Arabidopsis thaliana: one gene and its partner. The protein of the gene in region 1 interacts with the protein of each later gene in a pairwise test. Each region holds a gene or a part of one and is shown on either strand. Other genes may lie near its edges.

What was found.
Region 2: the proteins of AT1G75420 (region 1) and NDL1 interact in a two-hybrid assay, tested with the Arabidopsis thaliana proteins (one large-scale study listed by BioGRID).

Annotation. Positions count from the first base shown.
Region 1 is NC_003070.9:28,303,376-28,308,161, forward strand, and holds AT1G75420 (UDP-Glycosyltransferase superfamily protein), read left to right. Parts: upstream 1-1,842; 5' UTR 1,843-2,093; coding exon 2,094-2,331; exon of another isoform or gene 2,332-2,418; coding exon 2,419-2,561; intron 2,562-2,663; coding exon 2,664-2,935; intron 2,936-3,081; coding exon 3,082-3,236; intron 3,237-3,358; coding exon 3,359-3,942; 3' UTR 3,943-4,173; downstream 4,174-4,786. Other genes in the region: BLH11 (BEL1-like homeodomain 11), read right to left, coding at 4,746-4,786.
Region 2 is NC_003076.8:22,955,912-22,961,668, reverse strand, and holds NDL1 (N-MYC downregulated-like 1), read right to left. Parts: upstream 4,041-5,757; 5' UTR 3,684-4,040; coding exon 3,624-3,683; intron 3,161-3,623; exon of another isoform or gene 2,863-3,160; coding exon of another isoform or gene 2,860-2,862; intron 2,779-2,859; coding exon 2,679-2,778; intron 2,605-2,678; coding exon 2,507-2,604; intron 2,417-2,506; coding exon 2,328-2,416; intron 2,244-2,327; coding exon 2,183-2,243; intron 2,092-2,182; coding exon 1,927-2,091; intron 1,835-1,926; coding exon 1,778-1,834; intron 1,681-1,777; coding exon 1,625-1,680; intron 1,514-1,624; coding exon 1,378-1,513; intron 1,282-1,377; coding exon 1,063-1,281; 3' UTR 753-1,062; downstream 1-752. Other genes in the region: SERAT1;1 (serine acetyltransferase 1;1), read left to right, coding at 1-171. UniProt on the Arabidopsis thaliana protein: Interacts with the heterotrimeric G protein beta subunit GB1 and plays an significant role in GB1-dependent regulation of lateral root formation. Involved in a signaling pathway that modulates root auxin transport and auxin gradients.

The DNA of each region.
Region 1 (4,786 bases):
ATGATGTTTTGATGTATAATTGTTAAATTATTATAACGACGGAACTCTCTAAAAAGATTGTGATCAAAATTAAAATTAAACATCTTTTGAGGTCTCCTACTGTTTATACGTTATATACTTGTTTCTTCGCGTAATACATTGGACACACATACTCTTATTAAGTGACGTGCAAAAGAGGAAACTAATTAACTCCATTTTTTCAATATCTTCCTATTATTTACATATTAAAAATAAAGATATAAGTAGAATTGTCAACAAATCAATATATTGAATATAAAGTAATTAAAATTACTAAAGTATCCCTAGGCCTAGAGAATTTTGATTTGCCAGAAATGTTGCTTTGAGGAAGAAGTGTTGTGTCTGCTCAATTGCTTAATTGAGGGATTAAAGGACCTTAACAACCAGTTGGTGACTACCCAATTTCCTTACTTGGAACGAAAAAATCCAATTAGTTGACTAACAAATAAACATATTTTCTTAAATAATCAAGTGATTCATTTGACCTACATGAAGAAAATGTATTTATACGCAAAACAATAAAATGAAAAGAAAAGTTATGATGGGTCGATTCCATGTCCCAAAGGATCTAAGGAGGTTGTGTAATAAATAATAGAAAAAGTAGAATTCGAAAGAAGATGATGAAAAATGAAATAAATAAGGTAGCTGTGTCGGACGCGAAGTTGGTGAAAGTGGCCAAAAACGAAAGACTTGGACGCCAATTTGTTTCGTAGAGACGTTCCTTAACGGAACGAAGCTAACGGCTTTGTGTCCATCTTAATAAATGTTATTCTTATTTCAATTTCTGTATATTTCGTTTATTTCTTTTATTCTTTAATGTTTTTTTTTGTTTTTGGTTGAGTTTCGGTTTTGTCATAGATTGGAACAGCCGACACAAACCTTTCAAGGAGAATCAATGTGTTACAACAAATTCTTTTTTTATGAAATTTTATATATTTATGAGTAGATTATTTGTTTGTTTTTAAATGTACAACTGATAAACCCTACACACAGCTGGTTGAATATGGGAGTATATACAGTGGGAAAGTTTGAAAGGATCAAATATTTTTAACTTTCTAAAATAGGTTAAATGAATGTGGTTTTCTAAAGCTATTTATGATGAGTATTCTTATGAATAATAATATTATACATATCGTGAGTATATAATTTGAAGAAGATGATGAATCGATGATGAGTGATGATGATAGTGCTAAATGAGGAAATGACGAGTAAGAAATCAACAGCTTTTGTTTGGACAAAAAGCTTTTTGTACACCTAGCTATATGGTATGACAGCTAATAATAATTAATATCCTTAAGATATAATTAATCGCAGTTGTTAATCATAAATAGTCGGACCGTTTAACCACATGAGTTTTTCCTATTTTCAAGAGCAATCTGGTTAAACTACATGTAAATGGCAACAAAGTAAGAGTTTATGGTACGGTTAATTAGATGTTCCCAGGTAAATAGTAATACTACAGTTCACAGATTAATATGAGTTTTGCGTTACACTCAAGTCTCTATCTGTATAGCGTTTGAGAAATTATATATGCACGATCCACAATTTATGATCATAAATATTTTGTATTTAAACTAACAAGGGAAATATTGTTGTTCTTGCCATAAAGATTGATTCCACCAGTGAAAATACATTTTCAAAACATAAAATAACGTAGCACACAGTAAATTTTCAGTGCATGAGATGTGAAAGTCATTAGTATCTTAAACCTCATTAATCGTGATACAAACTAAAAGTGGAGACTGGAGTTTCTATGTTAATGAACATAATTGCCTTTTTAGAGCCCATAATAATATGCGGGTTTAAGTGGCCCAGAGGGATTAAAAACGGCAAGACGTTCTTCCAATAACGGCGTGCACTGTGAAACCTTTAAAGATCAAAATTTTCTTTCAAGGTTCTTCTCAGTATAACTCACTTTACAGTTCTACTCAGAGATCCAATTTCTTGCCCATTCTCGTCTCGAATTTGATTTTCAAAGGTTTGATTTTTGAGATCTTTAGCTTAGTTTCGACGAGTCATTTGCGAAGATCTAGACTATTGAAAACCTTAGGATGTGTCTTTAGCAAAGGAAAACAATGGTCAAAGCGTCGACGATGCAAAGGAAGAGATGGGCACTGATGGTTTTGTTGTTTCTATCTGTATCAACAGTGTGTATGATTCTCGTGAGATCTAGCTTTGAAACCTGTAGCATTAGTAGCCAATTCGTGGAAGAAAAGAATGGAGAAAGCAGCGCCGCGAAGTTTCAATCGAATCCTCTAGATTTCATGAAATCGAAGCTCGTTTTGTTAGTATCCCACGAGCTATCACTCTCAGGTTCTGCTGATTTGATTTCTAATTTGATCTGGGTTCTCGAAAAAATCATACTTTTTTGAGGTGATGATTGATTTTGTGTGACAAAAGGTGGACCTTTGCTATTGATGGAATTGGCGTTTTTGTTAAGAGGAGTTGGTGCTGACGTTGTTTGGATCACTAATCAAAAGCCACTTGAAGATGATGAAGTTGTCTATAGTCTTGAACACAAGATGTTGGATCGAGGAGTTCAGGTTCTCTCGTAGTTCCTACCAATAGACTTCAGAGTTTGTTGGAAAGATGTTGTCTTGAGCTCTGTTAATTGACAAGTTCTTATTTTTGGTATCTGACTTCAGGTTATCTCTGCAAAGGGTCAGAAAGCTGTAGATACATCTCTCAAGGCTGATTTGATTGTTCTTAATACTGCTGTGGCTGGGAAATGGCTTGATGCTGTTCTAAAAGAAAATGTTGTTAAAGTTCTACCTAAGATCCTATGGTGGATTCATGAGATGAGAGGACACTATTTCAATGCTGATTTGGTCAAACACCTCCCCTTTGTTGCAGGGGCCATGATTGATTCGCATGCAACAGCTGGATACTGGAAAAACAGAACACAAGCTCGCCTAGGGTATGTTTCCTCTTTGCACCTCCTGCTTCATGTGAATGATATACAGAAAACTAAGATATTTGTGTATAGTCTTGCCTCATTTCAGCTGGATTCACCTGTTTTTTCTTCTTAAAGATTAACATTGTTTTATGACTATTGATATACAGGATTAAAATGCCCAAAACTTACGTTGTGCACCTAGGAAATAGCAAGGAATTGATGGAAGTAGCTGAAGATAGTGTTGCCAAGAGAGTTCTCCGTGAGCACGTCCGAGAATCTCTTGGAGTGCGGAATGAAGACTTACTCTTTGGCATTATTAATAGTATGCCATCATTTTTTTAAGTCTTTCTTTTTCTCTGTTTTCTGACGAGCATCATCATCTTTTAAGGAGTAAGAGTTCACGCGTCACCAATGAATTTACTTTAAGTTTGTTACTATTTCCAGGTGTATCGCGTGGAAAAGGCCAGGATCTGTTCCTCCGAGCCTTCCACGAAAGTCTTGAAAGAATCAAAGAGAAGAAACTTCAGGTACCAACAATGCATGCAGTAGTAGTAGGAAGCGACATGAGCAAGCAGACAAAGTTCGAGACAGAGCTACGCAACTTTGTCCGAGAAAAGAAACTTGAGAACTTTGTCCACTTCGTCAACAAAACTCTAACCGTAGCACCATATATAGCAGCCATAGACGTTCTTGTCCAAAACTCCCAAGCCAGAGGAGAATGCTTTGGGAGAATAACAATCGAAGCCATGGCCTTTAAGCTACCTGTACTTGGTACTGCAGCCGGAGGAACAATGGAGATTGTAGTGAATGGAACGACTGGTCTGTTACATAGTGCAGGGAAAGAAGGAGTGATACCTCTCGCCAAGAACATAGTGAAGTTGGCGACGCAAGTTGAGTTACGGCTGAGAATGGGAAAAAATGGGTATGAGAGAGTAAAAGAGATGTTTTTGGAACATCATATGTCACATCGAATAGCTTCGGTACTCAAAGAAGTCTTGCAACACGCAAAGGCTCGTGCTTTACGATGAGATCACTAGAATGTTGTAAAATGTTTCTTGATCTCTCTTACTTATTCTGTTCATAGAAAATTACAAATACTACCCAAAGGAAAGGTGTTTTTTTTTTTTTTGTGTATGATGTTTTAAATTTCGAAATACGAGTTGAGATGAGTTTTACTGCTAAAATCTGAAAGTAAAGTGCCGTATTCTTGTGTCATATAATGTGTGAATCTCCAGGAATTAAACTGATAAAACCAAAACGTTTGGGGTCGAAAGTGGATCAATCAAAGCTAGTTTCTGGAACCCGAGTTACTCTTTATAATATTGGTGCATCGGCATGGTAGAGATGTTAGCTACTCAGATCTTGGTGATTTATCTAAACAAATCAGAGACCTAAGACATTACATTGAACTTCCTCTCACAAATCCTGAAATTTTTCAACGAGCAACGAGTTGGTGTTAAACTTCCCAAGTTTTGGATTGATTTGTTGTTTTGATTTTGATTTCAATTGTTCCGCAAGAAACAGGTTCATTGTGTTTGACCTAACGATTTCATCAAGGTAAGTACGTTTCTGCTTATTGTGATGTTTTTTTTATGTTTGGATTATTTGTTGCAATCTTCATCTTATGATCAATACTAAAACACGTTTTCAGGCTGTAACAAAACTAGGCGAAGCAAGGAAACTTGAGTCCAGTGCAAGTACAATGCAGATTTCGGAAAAGAGTAAAGATAGGAACATACAAAAGAAGGGATAAAAAGACTAAGAATCATCAAAAGAAGTAGAAGAAGAAGAAGAAGAACCTCTGTTCTGTTTTTATCTTCTTTTTTTTCAGTTAGTTTGAATCATCATTGGCTTCTCTTTGCATTGATTCAT
Region 2 (5,757 bases), on another chromosome or scaffold:
GGAGCTGGTTCTGTTGTGCTGATTGACGTGCCTTGTCGAGGTACTGCGGTTGGGAATCCGGCGAGACTTGTCGGAGGGAAAGAGAAGCCAACGATTCATGATGAGGAATGTCCTGGAGAATCGATGGATCATACTTCATTCATCTCGGAATGGTCAGATTACATCATATAAAGTTGTTGTTATAATTGTTTCTGTGGTTTTGAAAGTGAAAAACTTTCTGACCATTCGCTTATAGAGAGGTGCTGAGGTAAGTGAGCTTTGTTGTATTTGTAATTTACAAAACATCTTACGATGTTCAATACAAGAAATGGCCTTAATTTGATGTTATTATTCAATCATTAGTTATCCAAGAGTTTATACACTTCTTCTACTTTGTATTCGGGTTTGGCTCGGATTTACACTTGTCTGCATCCATTTTACGGGCTTGACAAACATCGAGGAGCATTGAACTTGTTCAGACTAAGTGAAGCATTCTTCGCCTTTACCCCGGTTCATGAGGGACTATGTTTTCGTCAACCGCAACTAATCCTTATGCGTATCTTATATCAGTATATAACTTACGGCTTCTGCAAAGAAGGATTGGTCTCCATTTCCATTTACAATTCAATTCAGACTAAAAAGTTTCAATCTGATGATCCAAATAGTTCAGGATCAAGACTGTTAAACCATTAAATATCAATATTAAGCAAAAACCAGATTCTAACTTGGTGAAATCAATGTGCTTGTAAGGCCAATTAGAGAACCAAAAACAAAATGCAAAATGAATTTTATTACTTGCTTCTGCAGAGTTCGTCACAAAACAATTGTTACAATGTCACAAGAACAGAACATTTTACATATGTATAAAAAAATGAAATAATAAACAACATTTTGTGGCATCTTAACAAGAGAACTGTCGTGTCGGCTGACTACAAAAGAATGTGTTATATGATGGTGGCTTGAATTTTTCTTCTTCGTCTTCTTCTTCTCAAATCTCCCTAGTATTGTTCTATATCTACAAAAGCCCTAAGATTTCTTCTCCTCAGCAAAATTAGAACCAATGAATCAGTAGTGCACACACACTTAAGCCGCCGAAATTCTGGTTTTGATAGGCTTAAGCTTTAATCCCATGCTTTCAGGAGAGAGAAGCTCAGGTGAAATACAAGAAGGGCTAAGTGGACTTCTAGGGCTCTCGGAGAAAAGAGATGGTCTGTATAATCCGTAACCCATCAAGAAATATTCCATTGGGATCAACATTGCATGTGGTTGCTCCTCTGTTACCATTGAACCACAAGCCTGAACCTGATAATATTTCCAAGAAAACATCTATTAGTAGCAAGAAAACCAAACATGTGTTTATATGTAAAGTACAAAGGATGAGGATTCGTTTTCTCAAACCTCAACCAAAGCACAGTATCCTCTATCCAAAGTTGCTGCCATGTGAACAGCTTCTGAGTAGAAAGGAGATTGATCTCCGATGAAGATAAGTGTCCTGCATTTTAGTTTCTTCAATCCACTTGAGATGTCAGGTCTCCTGCAAGAGCAAAGGTTTGGTTTGCATAAAGTTAAAGAAAAGTCAATATTTGACACCATGAATGAATGAATGCTTCTAAGGTAAAGGATTTCGAGGTGTTTGTTGTGTTACCGGTCAATGGCGTCAAGAAATCGCAAAACGTTTATGCCTTGTCTTTCATCAAGCAGCTGAGACAATCACCAAAAGTGCAAGGTGTGAATCACTGATACAGTAAAATCAATCTATTGATGAAACAGAAAAACAACAGAAGAGATAAACACTGACTCTTCTGCAAGCTTGTGCTATATCTGACTCTGGAATCTCAACGTTACCACGGACTTCCTGTAGCAAGCAGTTGCAACCGGTTTAAATAAGAGAAGTCTGGAAATGCAACAAGTGCAGAGAGAGAGCAATGGTAACTGCAGTGAACACACCTTACTAAAATATCTCTGAAGCAAAAATTCCTTTACCACTCCACACATTCCGTAATAATATAACAAGTTTGTGATAACCTTGTTGTAAAACCATTCAGACCAAGACGGCGCCTTGCATAACGGTGAGACAAGAATCAAACCAAGAACCCGTTCTCTATGTTTCATCTGAAAAGTTTTAAAACATAGAAGAGATGATAAACACAGTATTCTTCTGAAGCAATGGGCAATGAGAAGAGAAAAATAAATAGGAACATACCGCGAATAAGGTGAGGATATAAGCACCTGCAGTCACTCCCATACACATCACAACACCAAGGCTGAACAAAAAGCTTATACATTGTTACCCGAAAAACAAAAGTTGAGAACTTCAATAAGCCAAAAATAAGGGATTCCATCGTTACCCGAAAAAGTTGAGAACTTCAAGGATCTGATCTGCCAAGTTTTCAGCAGAAGGGACTGAATCATTAGGACAAATTGGAGCAGCTCCTAACTGCAAGAAAACAGAGAAGTCATGTGAGTAAGTAATCACGTCAAGCAAAGCATACGGCAAGTTAAAAAAAGAGAAACTAAAATATTGGACCTCATGCCCAGGTGGACTGATATGGTAAATGCAGAAGTTATGAAGCAGCAATGAAGCTGCTTCAGGACAGAAGAATAACCCTTGGAAGCATGACATATCTGAAGAAGAAACAACAAAAACATTAATAAATTTAGCCATTACATTAGTGCCTATAGAGATTCTTTAGCCTTACGGTTTAGGGCTAAATCAGGATAAGTAATCAATGCTGGCTTTTCTCTGTCTCCATAGACAATGACAGACACAACACCACTAGCAGTTTTAACACGATGCTCCTGAACACAAGAAACCAACAAGTTATAACAAAAGTAACGGATCATGAAACCAACAGAAAAAAACTAAACTTTTAACCATACCATTTGTCTACTCCATATTCATAAAACATGTGTTTGTAAACAATGAATCTATTTTCTCGTTAGTAAATGTATACTAAAGATAGGAATATGACAACTGACTTTAGGTGGAAAAGAAATGCTTTGATTAACACACACACAAAAAAGAAAACATCTCTGTTAAAGCTTTTCCATGTGCAGCTTTACTACTTTTAAGGGCAAAAAAACAAAACCAAAAACTTGATCATCAACAACCAAAGAGAAATGGCCTAATTCTAATCATTGTGGTTTTTTTTTAATAAAAAGGGAATGACAGTTTAAAAAAGATGAGCTAATATGAGTCTTAATGAGATAATAAAGAAGCATTAGTCTTATTAAACAAAAGGTTAATGGTAGACAAAAACAGCTGGCATTTTCTTTTCTTTTTTCTATAAGATAAAAAAATCAAAAGGCAATAAGACAAAGAATAAGGAATACAAAATAATAATAAGAAGAAGATATCTTTGAATAGAGAGAAGAAGAAGATCCCAAGAATAATCCCATCTGGAAATGAATCATAATAATAAAAGAAGTTTCACAAATCCACAAGCAAAGAATTTCTCCAAGAACATTTGATTCAAACAAAAGATGAGTCTTTTTTTTACAAAAACAAATGAATCTAACAATGCCCACATGTCTGTTCTTCCCCAAATCAACAGAAAGATTAGATTTAAGCAAGTTTAAGATAAACCCAGAAACAAAAATCAAAGCTTTATTCGGATCCGAGTTCAAAGGTTAAAGAATGAAACCTTGCCACCAAGATAGATTGTTCCAACGTCGACGGAGACGGCGCCGTAAGAGTCCGTCATTGGCAACAAAAGCTCTTCCGCTTAGCCGTCACCGTCGCCGTCGTTGTTTTAAGAACGCCGGGATAACAAGAGCTTCTTCTCTTTTCTTCTTCTTCTTCTCCCAACCTCTAGATTGTTTTTTGGCTTTTCTTTAGCTTATATACAAAGCGATGCCTTTTCTCTCTCCTCTCTCTTAAGACCTCTCTGGAAAAAGAAACGTTTTTTTTTCGTTTTCCTTTTTTTCTTCTCTTTCGTTTTACTCTCTCTATAAATTTTGCGGTGATTTCTCCATAGACGCCGGTAGTCGTAACATGACACGCGAACGGTCAAAAAACTTAAAATAAGAAACATTTTTAATTTGATTTATTTATAGAAACTTATTTTTGATAAATATTATTAACCAGCTCGAATTTCACCAATAACAGTCGAATACTAATTCGGAAAAATTGCTGTAAATAAATTGGATAATTGTATAAATGTAAACAAATATTAAATGTTGATAATTGGATAAGTAAGGGAGGTGCGAAGTTTTGGTTAACAACAAAATTAACATTAAGCAAACCGAATATAAATTTTTAGAGACTGTTTAGTTTTATTATTAAAAAAAAAAAGAGAAACCAAATTTTCTAAAAATACTATTACATATAAAAAATTATTTTTATGTAATAATATTAAGAACATCAATATTTAATAAACAATTGTATATTTATACTATTCGCAATTTTTTCACTTTGAGTTGGAAAAAATATATCTTAGTAGAAAATTAGAAATGGACTAATCTTAAACCATCAGATAGGCTTTCAAACATATTCCTATCATAAGAAACATGATGAGTAACACCACTATCTATGATCCATGTATTTTGTGATAACACTTGTCTAGAGGACGTTAGAGAACATAGTAACCATAAAGTCGAAGGTGAGAAAGAGATATCATTGAAAGCAAAACTTTGAAGTGACCAAATCTGCTGAGTTAGCTGATAAGACCTTGGCAAATTCGTAATGTGAAATCTAGTATCCAAGTCTTTCCAGATCTCTGCAGCATCATTGAAACGAAGTATACTCTTATAGATCTGCTTTGTAACAGAATTAAGGATCCTAGATTTAACCATACTGTTGCATCGTGACCACACTCTAAAGCTAGGATCAGATTCAGGAGGTCTTGGTAAAGTTCCATCAACAAAAGCAATCTTATTCTTAACGTTCAAAGAAACAAACATCGCAATCTTCCAAGAAGAGAAATTAGATCCATCAAGTACCTCAGAAACAAGTGTATTCCCAGGACTCACCATTTGAGAGCGCGAATGGCGAATAATGAGCATCCGAGAAGTCGAACTGTGGTAAAGGATAGATCGATGGTTTTGAATTGAAATTTTGTTGAAACGGATTCGAAATTGGTGGAATCGGTGGAATCGGTGAAGCTTGAACACGATCTGGAGTTTTCTCAGCTGAAGTTTTGCTCGATCTTCTAGTACGACGCCGCAATTTCTCTACGGAAACCATCGCAAGATCAACGAAGCTCTAAACAACTGAAATTTTCCAGAAAACGTAGAAAATTGAAGAAACAAAGAATCAACGAGTTTGGAAGATCCAAGAGCTCGAAGATACTCAGAGTTTAGGTTGAATCGGATGAATCTTCGAGATCCATCACTCTGATACCATAATAGTTGATGAACGAATTCAGAGAAATGAAGAAGATGAGAAAAATTTGTTATTCTTCTTAATTGTTCTGTTACATGAAACACTCTTTATATGTAGAGTGTTCCGGTTTAGTAACCGGTTTACATTGTACCAAACAACAATACAATAACCGAATTTATGGTTAATATCTTAAGTTAGACCTATTTCAAAACAAGCCTAATTTTCACAATAGTCAATTTTTTGTTGTTGAATATTTGGCCGAGAACTAGACTTCAATAATGGGGAAGAATAACTAAAATCGGTTCTTTCTCCTCTCCCAAAGTCAACTAGATTCACCAAGAATAACTAACTTTGGTTAATGATTACATGTTCTTAAAGTTATGGATCTTTTGGGAAAAATGGACTATTTGGCAAAAAGAGTGGCAAAAAGAGTGTGAACATAAAAAATACAAATG